4 linked regions of the Saccharomyces cerevisiae S288C genome follow. Changing the gene in region 2 together with the main gene of any one other region gives a genetic interaction. Each region holds a gene or a part of one and is shown on either strand. Other genes may lie near its edges. The genes, in order: PHO91, GIS3, MXR1 and VAC7.

Evidence for each region.
Region 1: mutations in GIS3 (region 2) and PHO91 together harm fitness more than expected from each alone (negative genetic interaction), as found in Saccharomyces cerevisiae (one large-scale study listed by BioGRID).
Region 3: mutations in GIS3 (region 2) and MXR1 together harm fitness more than expected from each alone (negative genetic interaction), as found in Saccharomyces cerevisiae (one large-scale study listed by BioGRID).
Region 4: mutations in GIS3 (region 2) and VAC7 together harm fitness more than expected from each alone (negative genetic interaction), as found in Saccharomyces cerevisiae (one large-scale study listed by BioGRID).

What each region holds. Positions count from the first base shown.
Region 1 is NC_001146.8:648,465-653,546, reverse strand, and holds PHO91 (Pho91p), read left to right. Parts: upstream 1-1,834; coding exon 1,835-4,519; downstream 4,520-5,082. Other genes in the region: SMM1 (tRNA-dihydrouridine(20) synthase (NAD(+))), read right to left, coding at 1-160; YNR014W (uncharacterized protein), read right to left, coding at 444-1,082; uridine kinase URK1, read right to left, coding at 4,610-5,082. UniProt on the Saccharomyces cerevisiae protein: Vacuolar phosphate transporter that probably exports phosphate from the vacuolar lumen to the cytosol.
Region 2 is NC_001144.5:327,197-331,049, reverse strand, and holds GIS3 (Gis3p), read left to right. Parts: upstream 1-1,811; coding exon 1,812-3,320; downstream 3,321-3,853. Other genes in the region: IOC2 (Ioc2p), read left to right, coding at 1-1,373; NYV1 (Nyv1p), read left to right, coding at 3,635-3,650, 3,792-3,853.
Region 3 is NC_001137.3:233,256-236,054, forward strand, and holds MXR1 (peptide-methionine-S-sulfoxide reductase), read left to right. Parts: upstream 1-1,681; coding exon 1,682-2,236; downstream 2,237-2,799. Other genes in the region: YEN1 (crossover junction endodeoxyribonuclease), read left to right, coding at 1-1,485; SAH1 (adenosylhomocysteinase), read right to left, coding at 2,515-2,799. UniProt on the Saccharomyces cerevisiae protein: Has an important function as a repair enzyme for proteins that have been inactivated by oxidation. Catalyzes the reversible oxidation-reduction of methionine sulfoxide in proteins to methionine.
Region 4 is NC_001146.8:524,335-530,115, forward strand, and holds VAC7 (Vac7p), read left to right. Parts: upstream 1-1,751; coding exon 1,752-5,249; downstream 5,250-5,781. Other genes in the region: tyrosine/serine/threonine protein phosphatase MSG5, read left to right, coding at 5,608-5,781. UniProt on the Saccharomyces cerevisiae protein: The PI(3,5)P2 regulatory complex regulates both the synthesis and turnover of phosphatidylinositol 3,5-bisphosphate (PtdIns(3,5)P2). Positively regulates FAB1 kinase activity.

The sequences.
Region 1 (5,082 bases), on a different chromosome or scaffold from region 2:
GTGCAGTGTTTTCCTTCCTGACGCACTGAATTAGCTTTTTGTCGATGATTTCTGGGGACCAGACGAGATCTGCACCGTGGGCCAGCGCCATCAGTCTCGTGGGCAGTTCGCCGGCTCTTACCATTGGAGCTAGAACCAGTTTTCCAGCATATGTAACCATGATCTCTGTGTGACTGCGCTATTTGGTGTGGCTTGGATGGATGAAATAGCAAAAGTTTTTCAAGACGGTTTTCATTTTTTCTTCGAGCGAAGTGATGAGCAAAGTAGAGGAAATGGAAAGCGGCAAAAAATGCATTGTCGATTTTAGTAATGAATATATAAAACGACGGAAATATATATATACATGGCTGCGTAGACCACGCAGAACTGTATATGTATGTATGTATAGAGGAGGGATGGGAAATGCTGTGTGACGATAGACAGATGGATGGACGAATGGATAACTACGTCTCTAGTCTCTCATACAATGGTTTGTCAAACTTGACGGCGACCGAGTTTCTTCTGTGGTGATGTCTGTTGCAAGGACAAGACGGGTCTGAGTGGTCGTTAGGAGACGCGGATGTTTGCGGCTCCTGTTGGTCACTGATGGGGAACATCATGCTATGCTGGGCGTACGAGACGGACCTTTTCATCTCGGACGACGAGCGATTATCGAAGGAGGGCAGTTGTGGCTCACTGGCCCTTCTTTGAAAGTTTTTGTGATGCGCGCATTGGTGGAAGTCGCTTGCCGGCAATACAGAGTTGCGCCTAGAAGAGGGCAGTAGTGACGGCGAGGTTGGGTCAGAAGTCAAGCACGAGGCTGCGGTGTAGTTACTCTTGAACAATGAGGGCCGCGTAGGGTCTGCTACAACGGGAGCGGAAACATTAAGTACAGTCTCGACGATTTCATTGTCAGTTGATAAAGCAGGCGGTAAGCCGACGGAGCTGCCTCTGGGGGAGCAGGCTTTAGATGTAGCAGAGGAGCAGGAGCTGCTGCTGCTGCTCCTGCTGCTGCTTCTGTCCGCGATCGACTTGTAGTGGAAGGTGATGTGAGCGGAAACAGGGATGTTCACGGCACAAGGCTTGATATCCGTGGACGACATGGAACGTTTATTAGTTATATTTTTCGAGAAAAAATCTGAAACTTGCAGATCATTAGTTTACGCTTCGGATGTACACACACATACCTATATACATATATACATACACATATATATACATTTGTGTGCTCGTATGCGTACTGTTTTGCACTGGGCTGATTCGAGAAAGTCAAAAAGCTTAACTGGCCAGAAAAAGAAATTAAAACGGCACCGAGGGGTCGAAACCTTCCGTTTCTGCGAAGGCCCTTTGTTCTTTTGCTTTTGATCCGAAATGAGGGGCGGCGAGAGGTAAGGGGTAGAGGGGCTGGAACTCTCGCTGATGTTCTGAGCGAGGTGTTCAGGTGGGCCTATCCGCCTTAATCACTCCGGCGTGGGGAAAGAAAGCAGAGAGCGAGCAGAGAGCGAGCAGAGAGTGGGTGATGTCAGAGAACGATAATCCTGATGGGGGGTGGAACTTTATTACCCTACTTGAATTTTTTTATTTTGGTAGGGTAACTTTTATTCCCTTGAAAAAAATACTTCTGGTTACCCGGATCCGTTTTTTTTCGGGGATCCACGTGATGGCTTTTTGATCAGGACTAATTTTAAAACTGAAAAAAAAAAAAAAAAATTGAGTATGTCTTGCATGTATGAAAATTGATAAGTAACTAGGAAAAATGCCGCTCAAAATCTTAGTAAAAATAACTTCTTTTCTTTTTTTACTTAGTCAAATAAAAAGAAAACTGTGAAGGTGACACGGTAACTTGCAGACTGACATGAAGTTCTCGCATTCCTTACAATTCAATTCTGTACCAGAATGGTCTACCAAGTATCTGGCCTATTCGCAGCTGAAAAAATTGATCTATTCTTTGCAAAAAGATAAGCTGTACAGTAACAATAAGCACCATGTTGTGGAGCCACATGACGCCAACGATGAAAATCTGCCGCTATTGGCAGATGCTTCTCCAGATGATCAATTCTACATCTCTAAATTTGTTGCTGCCTTAAACCAAGAATTGAAAAAAATTGATAAATTCTACATATCTCAAGAAACAGGTCTTATCGCCAACTACAACGAATTGAAGGACGATGTCATGGAACTGGAAAACACGAACAAGGCCACCCAATTGTTTAATCAGCAGCAACAGCATCAACTGCAAAGTGTTGCAAGAAACAGGAAGTCTAAGTCACAACAACGCCAAAGAAGGTTTAGTAGTGTCTCCTCCACGGACTCCAACCCCTCTCTGACAGACATGTCGATTGACTCTGCACCCGTCATCCACACGCAGGTCTCGAACACGACTAATAATGGTAACTCAATGCAAAACCTGGCCTCCGCTTCAGTGTCGCTTTCTAACTCTAACCCTGTGTATCTTTCTCCTTTTACCCAACATAGGCTCTCTTTAAAGAAAAGATTGATATCGATCTACACCCAGTTGTCCGAGTTGAAGGACTTTATTGAGTTGAACCAGACCGGGTTCTCCAAGATCTGCAAGAAATTTGACAAGTCCTTAAATACGAACTTGAAGCAGAACTACTTGAACTATATCAAATTCCATTCGCATGTTTTCAATCCTGCTACAATAAATAGGATTCAGCATCACATTACCGAGACCATCCTCACTTACGCTAGCTTGAACAAGGGCACGCGTCGACCATCTAATACGTTTAACTTGGACGCTGACCGAATCAACAATGACGAAAACAGCAGCGGTAATGAAGAAGACGAAGATGGCAACAGACAAGAAGTCCTCGATTTCCAGGATGCTGAGCGTGAATTATCCTCTCATTTGAGAGATCACGTAGTTTGGGAAAGAAACACCGTTTGGAAAGATATGATGAATTTGGAGAGAAAGTACCAATCTGCCAAGACTGACAACAAGAAGTTTTCAAAGTTGAGTTCCAGTCAATTGCGCCCCAATGCCAACATTACTGAATCCATGGCAATGTCGAGTGGTGGCGCCGGTATCATCGCTCCATCAACGGATTCCCTAACTTTCCGTGAACTCATGCATTTACCACCCAAGCAATGGTTGCAATTTATCATGGGCCAAACTTCCCTGCTGAAGTTTCTGTTAATCACCTCATGTTTCATTGCATTATTAACTTTTAATTTGACTCCTTTTACGCAGGATTCCTTACAGAAAAACTGTTTCGCCATCTTAATATATGCATCTTTATTATGGGCCACTGAGACCATCCCCCTTTTCGTGACTTCTCTAATGATTCCTCTGCTTATTGTAGTGTTCCCTGTTATCAAGGACCCTATCACCTCCCAACCAATGTCTCCCCGTGATTCCTCTCAGTTCATCTTATCAACGATGTGGTCGAGTGTCATCATGCTTTTGCTGGGTGGGTTTACTTTAGCAGCCGCCCTTTCCAAGTACAACATTGCCAAAGTCCTTTCTACGCATATTTTGGCATCCGCCGGTACAAACCCACATTTTATTCTTTTAACAAATATGTTTGTGGCGCTCTTTGTTTCCATGTGGGTTTCTAATGTTGCTGCCCCCGTTCTTTGCTATTCAATTGTTCAACCTTTGCTCAGAACACTGCCAAGAAATTGTTCCTATGCCAAAGCTCTAATTCTTGGTATCGCTCTTGCCTCCAATATCGGTGGTATGTCTTCTCCCATCGCTTCTCCTCAAAACATTTTTTCTATTGGTATAATGGACCCTTCACCATCTTGGGCTGAATGGTTTATGATTGCGCTACCTGTGTGCTTTATTTGTGTCATGGCAATTTGGGTGCTATTGATCATAACCTTCCCTCCTGAGCCAAATGTGAAAATTTTGCAATTGCATCCATCCCGTGATCCATTCACTCTGAAGCAATGGTTTGTCACTTTAGTTTGCATTATAACAATTGTTCTTTGGTGTCTTTCAAACCAAATCTCCGGTATCTTTGGTGAAATGGGAATCATATCTATTATACCTATAGTAGTCTTCTTCGGTACAGGTCTTCTAACTTCGGATGATTTCAATAATTTCATGTGGACAATCGTTGTTTTGGCCATGGGAGGTACCACCCTAGGTAAGGCGGTAAGCTCATCCGGTTTATTGTCTACAATGGCACAGTTAATTAAGGCGCAGGTTGAGCATGAACCAATCTTCATTATTGTGTTGATCTTCGGTCTAGTGATTCTTGTAATGGCCACTTTTGTCTCCCATACCGTCGCGGCAATGATCATCGTACCATTAATGAGTGAGATCGGTTCCAATCTACCTTCAGGTGATCATTCTAGACTATTGATCGTTATAGCCGCCCTATTATGCTCTAGTGCTATGGGTCTTCCAACCTCTGGTTTCCCCAACGTGACTGCCATTTCAATGATTGATGAAGTTGGTGATAGATATTTGACCGTGGGTACATTTATTACGAGAGGTGTACCAGCCAGTTTGTTAAGTTATGCCGCTATTGTTACAGTAGGTTATGGCATATTGAAAGTAATGGGATTTTAAGATTATCCATAGAGAGAATGAAAGGTTACTAATATAGTATGTATACGTGCACTATTATTTAATTTTACTTTATATTGCCTCTAATTATTCTCAATCACAACCAAAATACTTTGAATCAAAAAATCTGGTCAATGCCCATTTGTATTGATGATTTTGTAACTTTTCTCTGGAGATGATCATACCAGCAAAAATGTTGACTTTGTTATCAAATGCATTTAATATACGTCGGATACCAACTTCAGTGGCCAAATAAACCACCACGCTAATCTTTTCCAAATCAATACCATGATCTAAAAGCACCTGGATGGCCATGATCATGGCCGCACCACTTATGATTTGACCTTCCATTAAGAAAACCTTGCCAAACTTTTCTATATTTGGGGGTAAAAATTCGCAATGCAGTTGAGGTTCCCCAGTTTGTGAATCGGACTGAATCAACAATTTACCAATTGTGATATTGGGGATCGTCTTTCTCAAAGACTTCATAAAACAATCGCCAGATCGAATAATATTAACAGCTGTAACTTGATCGAATTGACAGGCAATAACGTTTTCCATGGTAT
Region 2 (3,853 bases):
TTTTGGCCAACAGAGAAAAGGAGAGAGCAATTGCGGAGCTAATGACAAGGAGGAAAAGATCTTCGAGACTGGTAGCGAAAGAGGAAGAAAACAAGAAAAAAGACTTGGAAAGTGAGTGGTTTGAAAAACTAGATGAAAGAGAACAATTTATAAGGCACAGAAACAAGCTAGTGTCGAAGGAAATCAAAAAGATAAAAGATCTTCTTTGGAACCAATTGTGGCAATTGTACGATCAAGATTATAGAGATGAAAAATTGACCAGGCGTAACGAGCTCAAAGATAGAAGTGGTTCTGGTACACCGTTTTTTGAAACGTCTTTGGGCAGGGAGGAGGACAATCCCTTAAATGAAATCGATATCGGAGTTCTTGATCACGGCCCTAACTTTCAATCTAGTATAATCCCGGTGGAACCACCAATTCCTGGAACTGTTGGGCCACTACAGACGGGAGACGTCCCTGAATTGCCTAGTGACTTCTGCATAACAAAGGAAGAGCTAGATGAGCTTGCCAACTACGGGATCTTTACTCCGCAGCAAGAGCCCGACAACCAAGATTCTGTTTTCCAATGTCCGGGCGAACCAGAGCTGGCGCCCATGATTATCACCGAAGACACGGAGACTGACCTCTTCAATAACCGCCCATTGATATGCTGTGATCATTGTTACAGGTGGCAGCATTGGGAATGCCAACCTCCAAAAATTATAGAGCTTATATCTTCAACCACAAAATCCCCACAGCACACGCTGTCGCAACGTGATTTTGGCGTCATCATAATGGGAAATTCGCACGGCAATAGAAGGTCTTCTCGCAGACCCCAATCCACACTTGAACCCAGCACCAAGTCTTCAAGACCTACTGATAAACGCAAACCGCTGTCTGAATGCTCCACTTTTATCTGCGCTTGGTGCATCAGGGACTTGGAACTTGAGCTGCGCAACATTTTTGTGCCTGAATTGAAAATAATAAGGGCCAAACAAAGAAAACAACAGGAAGACCGTGAAAGAAGAAAAAAAATGAAGGAAGAAAAGAAAAGGCTCGAAGAGCTTGCAAAGAAAAGGGAACTAACCGAGTCTGTCTCACCTCCAGTGTTTAATAATGCATTTGCAAACATGTCAAGTAGCACAACGCCTAGTATCGCCGCTTACGAAAAAACAAATCCAGCCATCAATCCAGCACCTAATGTAAATGCCGCTCACCCCATAATTACATACTCGCAGCAAACTGGCAGCAAAACTGTACCACAAGCACCACAGGCACCACAAACATCACAAGCATCAATCCAACCACAGCAGCAACAGCAACAGCAACAGCAACAGCAACCGCTGCACCCTAAAGAACAGAACTTTCACTTCCAGTTCCCACCAACCAACTAGCCTCATATAGAAATACACAGCAAAAGTATATAGTAAAATATATATCAACTGGTTCTTCATGAAACTTTCTTTTCCAGCCGCACATCCGTAGGGCTTCTGTCGCTTCATGTCGGGTAATAATGATGCTTAGGGCTTAGCGCCAAAATAATTAGGGTGTATGAGGCGGCTCCTGACTAGGGTCAGACGGCATTTTTTCGTCTTTTTTTATCCGGTTTTTCGTCAGTGGCCATCCTTAATGCGCGGCAAAGGTGCTGAAGGCGCCTTATTGTGTTAAAAAAGCCAATGAAATAAAAGTGGGATGGTGAGAACGCCAAACGAGTGAAACAGAGAATGGAAACTCGCTTCTTCACAAGTATTTGATGGCTAGTTTTCTCAATTACTTGTTTCTTTGGATAGACACGAACATACAGAACACTTTCAACAAGACATAATTATAGAATGCTGCTGGACGTGAACACAAATCACACACTAATGCACGATGCTCATGTGCATGAACATTGCCTCATCAAAAGCATACGTGATGATGGCGCATTGCACTCATGGAGCGACTCATCAAAGGTATTTTATCCCAAGTCATTTTACGCTACCGCTACTAATAAGAAGAATAACAAGTTAGCCAGCGCCAGCATGAACAAGACCGCCACAAGTAATAGGACGGTGAGCGATGAGATTTATTTCCACTCCACTAAGCCGCAGTTCGATGGTCAAGGAAGCGCTGAACGTACTAGAACACTAACCAAGAGGAATAGCTTCAAGAGGACTAGAATACTGAAGGCTCGAGACGATTCCGAACTGCTGAACGAAAATCGCTCATCTTTGATGACCCCGTCCTTAAGCTCGGTCATGTCGCAAGTTAGGAAAACAAATTCCGCCAAGACGTTATCGGGCGAATGCCCCATACATGAGGGCCACTTAACACAGAGCATAAAGAGGAAGTTCTCCGAGGAAGCTCAAAGCGACTGTTCTTCATTGAGCTCCTCTAAACTTCATCCCTTGACAGATGATATTGCTGACGCTGTCGATTTGCAGACCCCCGCGATTGGCGATGAGGTACTGGCTGAGCCGGTCGTGCCCAAAATGAAAATAATAAACATAAATGATCTCGATTTGTTCGACGACTGGGAGGTTAAGGATTTAGTCGATATCTTTCCTCCCGTATACGAACGGCGTCCGCGATCGTCCTCTGCCCTTTCACTGGTTTCTGCGTCGTCCGATGCCAAACTTCGTCCGACCTCTGTGGACTTCCAAATCATCGACAAGAAAGGCGGCAAGACTTCAAGAAGGAAGAGTAGGAGCAAATCGACTACAGAAAACATGATTTACGAAAATGACCTGGTAGAATTAGAACAATGGCCATCTGCATCACCATCGCCCGAGACCGACGGTTCGATTGCATCTAGCGAGCTCTTGCCCAATAAAAGAATAAGACAAAAAAGTTTGAATACCAATTTCCTAAAGTTATACTCTATTGAAACATCATGTAAAAGGAAGAGTATTTTACCCGAAGTCGAAGTAGATGACCATCTGTTGAAGCAGCTAACGTATTCCGAAATTCGGTCTTTGGAAATCAAAAAGGAGCCAAATGTCTCTACGAACGATATTAAGCTTGCCCTAATTACTAGGAAAAAATTATGGTCTGACATGGTCCATGAAACAAGAAATGATCTTTTTGGCGATTCTACCCCCTGGAATTTGCACTTTGTTGCAACGACAAGCAATACGGAACCTTCGCAAGGCCGTGAATCCGCAAGCGAACATGCAACGGCGGATTTGAAAAGTTCTTTGGTCCGCGTACACTCAGACGTCAAGCCATGGTTCAACAATGGCGGCACAATGCTCAAACCATGCGGAAAACTAAATTTAGGCAAAGTCACCAATAAGACTTCCGCACCTACGAGAGAGATTCAATATGTCGTAAAGGGCTGGTGTGACAGCAGGTTTCTCTGATAGACCCCCCACCTTTTCATCGCCTTCACCCCACCCATTTGCATTATCTAAAAATAGTAAACTATATATTCTACCACCACATTCATTATATATAATATTTAAAACAACGCATTACCACCAAGCGCCCGGGTAATATTCGCCTCAAACGATCGAAGAAAGAAAAAATGAGGTCACAATAATGATGAAAAAAAGCCCCTCTATGAATTTTCTAGCACTTGACTAAGTTGGAGCAACAGCTATTAAATTTGAAGAACAGAGTGAAAAGCGACAATTTATTAAGCTGTTAGAGCATTGGACTTTTATATTTTTACCAAATGAAACGCTTTAATGGTATGTATAAATATTTCTACACAATTAACAAATGTTTAAAAAAGGGATTATGCGAATGCTCATCCCCCCATGCCATAATTTTACTATGTTACATTCAGTAGACTAACGTTCCATTTTGCTTGATTTTGCATATGGTCTTAGTAAGTTATGTGGAAGTTATAAAAAATGGTGAAACAATATCTAGTTGTTTCCAGCCGTTCCAG
Region 3 (2,799 bases), on a different chromosome or scaffold from region 2:
AATAAAGTAGCAGGGAAGAAGTTTGATCGCCTGTCTCTCTTATTTTTCAGCGTGCTATTAGGTGCCGATTACAATCGTGGAGTCAAGGGTTTGGGTAAAAACAAATCTTTGCAGTTGGCTCAATGCGAAGATCCTAACTTTTCCATGGAATTTTATGACATTTTCAAAGATTTCAATTTAGAAGATTTGACATCAGAAAGTCTGAGGAAGTCTCGGTATAGATTGTTTCAAAAAAGATTATATTTATACTGCAAGGATCATTCTGTCGAGCTATTTGGAAGAAATTATCCTGTTTTATTGAATCAAGGTTCATTTGAAGGCTGGCCATCAACTGTCGCAATCATGCACTATTTTCACCCCATTGTCCAACCATATTTTGATGAAGAAGTTCTCAGTGATAAATACATAAATATGGCTGGAAACGGACACTACAGAAACTTAAATTTCAATGAACTGAAATATTTTTTACAAAGTTTGAATTTGCCTCAAATTTCTAGCTTCGACAAGTGGTTTCATGATTCTATGCACGAGATGTTTCTATTAAGAGAATTTTTATCAATTGATGAGTCCGATAATATAGGTAAAGGTAATATGAGGATTACCGAAGAAAAAATTATGAACATAGATGGTGGAAAGTTCCAAATACCATGTTTTAAAATACGGTATACAACATTCTTGCCTAATATACCCATTTCTTCTCAATCTCCTTTGAAGCGCAGTAATTCTCCCAGTAGAAGCAAGAGTCCCACACGACGTCAGATGGATATAATGGAACACCCAAATAGTCTTTGGTTACCCAAATACTTGATACCTCAATCGCATCCATTAGTAATTCAATATTATGAGACACAGCAACTTATACAGAAAGAAAAAGAGAAGAAAGGTAAAAAATCGAATAAGTCTCGGCTACCACAGAAGAATAACTTGGATGAGTTTTTAAGAAAGCATACTTCGCCGATTAAAAGTATCGGAAAGGTAGGCGAGTCGAGAAAGGAAATCCTGGAACCTGTGAGAAAAAGGCTTTTTGTAGATACAGACGAAGATACTAGTCTGGAAGAAATACCGGCTCCCACAAGACTGACCACCGTCGATGAACACAGCGATAATGACGATGATTCGTTGATTTTTGTAGATGAGATTACAAACAGCCAAAGCGTTTTAGATAGTTCACCCGGTAAAAGAATTCGGGATCTTACACAGGACGAACAGGTTGACGTTTGGAAGGACGTAATAGAAATATCACCAATAAAAAAGTCAAGAACTACTAATGCTGAGAAAAATCCGCCTGAGTCTGGTTTAAAATCACGCTCAAGCATCACAATCAATGCTCGCCTTCAAGGTACTAAGATGTTGCCTCCAAACTTGACTGCTCCAAGGTTAGAAAGAGAACACTCCTCTGTCCTTGACCAACTTGTCACAGACGCACAAGATACAGTCGACCGGTTTGTAGCCTGTGACAGTGATAGCAGTAGCACTATTGAATGAGTTAACGGGCACAGCGTCAAAAAATCCGCCACCACAGTTGATCGCGCCGAAAACGAGGGAGTTGCGATGAGTAAAATGAAGGGCATATATAAACAAGAGTAGACAGAGACACATTTTTCAATATCATATATATAGATTTAATTGGAAAGACAGTTATATTCTAACGTCAAAAACTTAACAAGTAAATCAAGTTGCAATGTCGTCGCTTATTTCAAAAACCATTAAGTATGATCCAGCCAAGGATAAATTAATCACATTAGCATGTGGATGTTTTTGGGGTACAGAACATATGTATAGGAAGTATTTGAATGACCGTATAGTGGATTGTAAAGTAGGTTACGCTAATGGAGAAGAGTCTAAAAAGGATAGCCCCTCTAGTGTCTCTTATAAGAGAGTTTGTGGTGGTGACACAGATTTTGCGGAGGTTTTACAAGTATCCTATAATCCCAAAGTGATAACTTTGAGAGAATTAACTGATTTCTTTTTTAGAATCCATGATCCTACTACATCTAATTCACAAGGACCTGATAAAGGTACACAGTATCGCAGTGGATTGTTCGCTCATTCAGATGCTGATTTAAAAGAATTAGCCAAAATAAAGGAAGAATGGCAACCAAAATGGGGTAATAAGATTGCCACAGTTATTGAACCAATCAAGAACTTTTACGATGCTGAAGAATACCACCAGTTATATTTAGATAAGAATCCACAGGGATATGCATGCCCTACTCATTATCTGAGAGAAATGTAGCTTTTTTAGTGTACGTGCCCTTATTTATGAAAAAAAGTCAAGTGCATGAATGAAATATTTACTGTTGAAGAATTTATTATATATATAGGTATACAGGATCTATCTTTTCGATAACGTAACTTAGTATCACATGTATTAGTATTAATACTGTGATAGGATTGTTAGCTGTTGTTTTTATATTTGCAATTTATTTATGATCTTTTTTGATGATCAAACCGTTGAGTTTTTGAACATTAAAAAATAGTGAGAAAGAAGAACTGAAATGGGAATTGAATTGATCAATATCTGTAGTGGTCGGCCTTGAATGGACCTTCTTCTGGAATACCCAAGTATTCAGATTGGACTTTACTCAATTTAGTCAATCTAACACCCAAGTTGCCCAAGTGGAACTTAGCGACAGCTTCATCCAAGATCTTTGGCAAAACGTGGACACCAACTTCGAATGGGCCTGTCTTTTGGAATTCAATGTGCTTTTCTCTGAAAGACTTATCGTTAGACTTGAACAAAGCAATTTGAGCTAAGACTTGGTTAGAGAAGGAACAAGACATAACGAAAGATGAGTG
Region 4 (5,781 bases), on a different chromosome or scaffold from region 2:
GTGATTGGAGGAAAGTCGACAAAGGCTTCGTTAACATGCACTTCAACTACAGAAGCAGAAATACACGCAGTCAGTGAAGCTATTCCGCTATTGAATAACCTCAGTCACCTTGTGCAAGAACTTAACAAGAAACCAATTATTAAAGGCTTACTTACTGATAGTAGATCAACGATCAGTATAATTAAGTCTACAAATGAAGAGAAATTTAGAAACAGATTTTTTGGCACAAAGGCAATGAGACTTAGAGATGAAGTATCAGGTAATAATTTATACGTATACTACATCGAGACCAAGAAGAACATTGCTGATGTGATGACAAAACCTCTTCCGATAAAAACATTTAAACTATTAACTAACAAATGGATTCATTAGATCTATTACATTATGGGTGGTATGTTGGAATAAAAATCAACTATCATCTACTAACTAGTATTTACGTTACTAGTATATTATCATATACGGTGTTAGAAGATGACGCAAATGATGAGAAATAGTCATCTAAATTAGTGGAAGCTGAAACGCAAGGATTGATAATGTAATAGGATCAATGAATATTAACATATAAAACGATGATAATAATATTTATAGAATTGTGTAGAATTACAGATTTCCTTTTATGGATTCCTAAATCCTCGAGGAGAACTTCTAGTATATTCTGTATACCTAATATTATAGCCTTTATCAACAATGGAATCCCAACAATTATCTCAACATTCACCCATTTCTCAAAACTATCACGGAATACTAATCGAAGACTAGTGACGCACGTTACGCTATAGCAACAACGTCACAAGGATAACGTTAGTAGTTTTTTGGAAGGACAATTGCAAACTATATGTAAACGAACGAAGACACACAGTCCAAAGCTGTAACAACAACCACATATATAAATGGTAGTCTTCTAGGAAACTTCACTGTAAGATTAGATACGTAGAGGTGAAAGACAAGTTGAAGTTTGGATCGGAAGTTCCATTAATATTTGGGTAAGTAAGTTCGCCGCGCGGCAGAAACGGTGAGTACTTACTCACTTTTGTTCTAACTACAACAAAAAACTGTAAAAGTGGTGTAAGGTTTACGTTCCGTTTTGGTTGCAAATCATCAGCCCTGGTTTAAGCTTTATGTCCAACATTGGTTAGCGAAGGCACCGTACTGGTCTCGATGTCGGTGAGCAGGGGCGGCGAAATTCATTCCAATCTTGGATAATATATATGTATATATCTATACACGCGGCGAGATCTTGTCCTCTAATTTCCCTTCGCTAAATCATTAAGAGGTCATTCATGAAGTTAATTCAGCACCAAAGTTGGACTGTTAGACACGAGATACACATTGCAGTCCAAATGTGCAGATTTTTCAGATAATTGTCGTCGCACAAGACTGCCCCTCCCGTCCTCAGACAGACACAAAATTAGATTTTACGTTTACATAAAGATGTACATAACTTGAAAAAACGTTAATCCCTCTTAAATTTAGACCTTGTAAGTCTTCCTGGCCACTCTTTGTGATATATTGTAGTGCAATATATTGATTCGTTCTTCTTATTTCTTTGTTCTTAGGCATTTCCGCTTTAGAAAATTCGTTGGGTGGTTTCTGCGACGGGTATCCCCTTCGATTTTGCATAATGATCTTCAATTCTACAACTAAAATCAAGTAGATACAGGAAAATATTCCATAAATTATAGTGTAAATCGCCCTGTATACACCTTATCGTTTCATCTCAGGCAAGTTAAAGCATTTGGGAAACGTGCTAGATGACAGAAGAAGATAGAAAGCTCACTGTAGAGACAGAAACAGTTGAGGCACCCGTGGCAAATAATCTTTTATTGTCGAATAACAGTAATGTAGTAGCACCTAATCCTTCTATTCCCTCTGCCTCCACATCTACCTCTCCGCTACACAGGGAAATAGTTGATGATTCTGTCGCTACTGCTAACACCACCAGCAACGTTGTACAGCATAATTTGCCCACCATAGATAACAATTTAATGGATTCCGATGCCACGTCACATAATCAAGATCATTGGCATTCAGACATAAACAGGGCAGGAACATCAATGTCAACGAGTGATATCCCAACAGATTTACATTTAGAACATATCGGCTCTGTTTCATCAACTAATAATAATAGTAACAATGCCCTAATCAACCACAACCCTCTGTCATCTCATCTTTCCAATCCGTCATCTTCATTACGAAACAAGAAGAGCTCTTTGTTGGTAGCTTCTAACCCTGCGTTTGCTTCAGATGTTGAACTCTCGAAGAAGAAACCTGCCGTCATCTCCAATAATATGCCTACAAGTAACATTGCCCTTTATCAAACAGCGAGATCGGCGAATATTCATGGTCCATCATCAACTTCCGCATCTAAAGCGTTCAGAAAGGCTTCGGCCTTCTCCAATAACACGGCACCCAGCACTAGTAATAACATCGGCTCGAATACACCTCCAGCTCCTCTTTTACCTCTACCTTCACTATCACAACAAAATAAGCCAAAAATAATAGAGAGGCCCACAATGCACGTCACTAATTCAAGAGAAATACTTTTAGGTGAAAACCTGTTAGATGATACAAAGGCGAAGAATGCTCCCGCGAATTCAACCACACACGATAATGGTCCAGTAGCAAATGATGGGCTGCGTATACCGAATCACTCGAACGCAGATGATAATGAAAATAACAACAAAATGAAGAAGAATAAAAACATTAATAGTGGGAAAAATGAACGTAATGATGACACCAGCAAAATATGCACTACATCTACTAAAACAGCGCCTTCAACCGCACCTTTGGGCAGTACAGACAATACTCAGGCTCTCACTGCTAGTGTCTCCAGCAGTAATGCTGACAATCACAATAATAACAAGAAGAAAACCAGCAGCAACAACAACGGCAATAACAGTAATAGTGCATCCAATAAAACCAATGCCGATATCAAGAATTCTAACGCCGACTTGAGCGCTTCTACCTCTAACAATAATGCAATAAATGACGACTCACATGAGAGTAATTCAGAAAAACCAACAAAGGCGGATTTTTTCGCTGCAAGGCTGGCTACAGCTGTAGGTGAAAATGAAATTAGTGATTCTGAGGAAACATTTGTTTATGAATCGGCAGCTAATTCGACTAAAAACCTAATATTTCCTGACTCCTCCAGCCAGCAGCAGCAGCAGCAACAGCAACCTCCAAAACAACAGCAACAGCAACAAAATCATGGAATAACCTCAAAGATAAGCGCCCCATTGCTAAACAATAACAAAAAATTATTAAGCCGACTGAAAAATTCAAGACATATTAGCACTGGTGCCATATTGAATAACACAATCGCGACTATAAGCACAAATCCGAACTTGAATTCTAATGTGATGCAGAACAATAACAATCTGATGTCGGGACACAATCACCTGGACGAGTTGAGCAGTATAAAACAGGAGCCACCGCATCAATTGCAGCAGCAGCAACCACCAATGGATGTACAATCGGTAGATTCGTATACCTCTGACAACCCAGACAGCAATGTTATTGCCAAGTCGCCTGATAAGAGGTCAAGCTTAGTATCCCTATCTAAAGTTTCTCCACATTTACTTTCATCCACATCAAGCAACGGTAACACAATATCGTGTCCCAATGTTGCCACAAATTCGCAGGAATTGGAACCAAACAATGATATTTCAACGAAGAAATCTCTTTCCAATTCTACTTTGAGACATTCCTCTGCTAATAGAAATTCTAATTATGGTGACAACAAAAGGCCTCTTAGAACAACAGTGTCAAAGATATTTGATTCAAACCCTAATGGAGCTCCTTTACGGAGATACTCTGGGGTACCGGATCACGTTAATCTAGAAGATTACATCGAACAGCCGCATAATTATCCAACAATGCAAAATAGTGTGAAAAAGGATGAATTTTATAACAGCAGGAACAATAAGTTTCCCCATGGTTTAAACTTTTATGGTGATAACAATGTTATTGAAGAGGAAAATAATGGTGACTCGTCTAATGTAAATCGACCGCAACACACTAACCTTCAGCATGAGTTTATTCCAGAAGATAACGAAAGTGATGAAAACGATATTCACTCCATGTTTTATTATAATCATAAGAACGATTTAGAAACAAAACCGCTAATATCCGATTATGGTGAAGATGAAGACGTAGATGATTATGATCGCCCAAATGCTACTTTCAACAGTTACTATGGCTCAGCATCCAACACGCACGAACTTCCATTACATGGAAGGATGCCTTCAAGATCAAATAATGATTACTACGATTTTATGGTTGGCAACAATACTGGCAATAACAACCAATTGAATGAATATACCCCCTTAAGAATGAAACGTGGTCAAAGACACCTATCAAGAACAAACAATAGCATAATGAATGGTAGCATCCATATGAATGGTAACGATGACGTTACCCATTCCAATATCAATAATAACGATATTGTTGGTTACTCACCGCACAACTTTTACTCAAGGAAGTCCCCATTTGTGAAAGTAAAGAATTTTCTTTATCTTGCATTTGTTATATCATCACTATTGATGACAGGATTCATTCTGGGATTTTTATTGGCCACTAATAAAGAACTACAAGATGTAGACGTGGTAGTGATGGATAATGTGATTTCAAGTTCGGACGAGTTGATCTTCGACATCACAGTAAGTGCTTTTAATCCAGGATTCTTCAGTATAAGCGTTTCCCAAGTCGATTTGGACATTTTTGCAAAAAGTTCTTACCTGAAGTGCGATTCTAATGGTGACTGTACAGTAATGGAACAGGAACGGAAAATTTTACAAATAACGACAAATCTTTCGTTAGTTGAAGAGAGTGCTAATAATGATATTAGTGGTGGGAACATAGAGACGGTATTACTAGGAACCGCTAAAAAACTAGAGACACCATTAAAGTTCCAGGGCGGCGCATTTAATAGGAACTACGATGTGTCAGTCTCGAGTGTCAAGCTTTTAAGTCCTGGGTCTCGTGAAGCCAAGCACGAAAACGACGATGATGACGATGATGATGGCGACGATGGTGACGATGAAAACAATACTAATGAAAGACAATACAAAAGCAAACCAAATGCTAGAGATGACAAAGAAGATGATACTAAAAAATGGAAGCTACTAATCAAGCATGATTACGAATTGATAGTCCGTGGAAGCATGAAGTATGAGGTGCCCTTTTTCAATACGCAAAAATCTACGGCTATTCAAAAGGATTCCATGGTCCATCCTGGTAAGAAGTGAGTGTTAAGAATGTAGCTTTTTCGTCAAAGCTGGGTATTTTTCTTTTTATAGCGCAGGAGCGGAAGGCAATTTCCAAAACAGGAATGTACTTTCCAAAAAAGGAAAATGTAGTTTGTTTTTTGATGTTTTTTTCTCTTTGACTATTTCAAATTTAGAAGTGAAAAAATACAAAAATGTTACATAGGATTCGATACAGTGTAATATATCATTATTATTACTTTTAAATAAAGCGTTTAGTAAACAAGAGTGAGGGTTATGCAACTCGTTTAGTAAACATTCTTTTTTTTTTCTTCATTTAAGTATAAGACAACAATAGTAGCGGAAGCGATAGTAATACATTTGGTAGCGATAAGTGCACATGCAATTTCACTCAGATAAGCAGCATTTGGACAGTAAAACCGACATCGATTTCAAGCCAAACTCACCGCGTTCCTTACAAAATAGGAATACCAAAAATTTATCTTTAGATATAGCAGCACTCCATCCATTAATGGAATTCTCATCGCCAAGCCAAGATGTGCCAGGTTCAGTA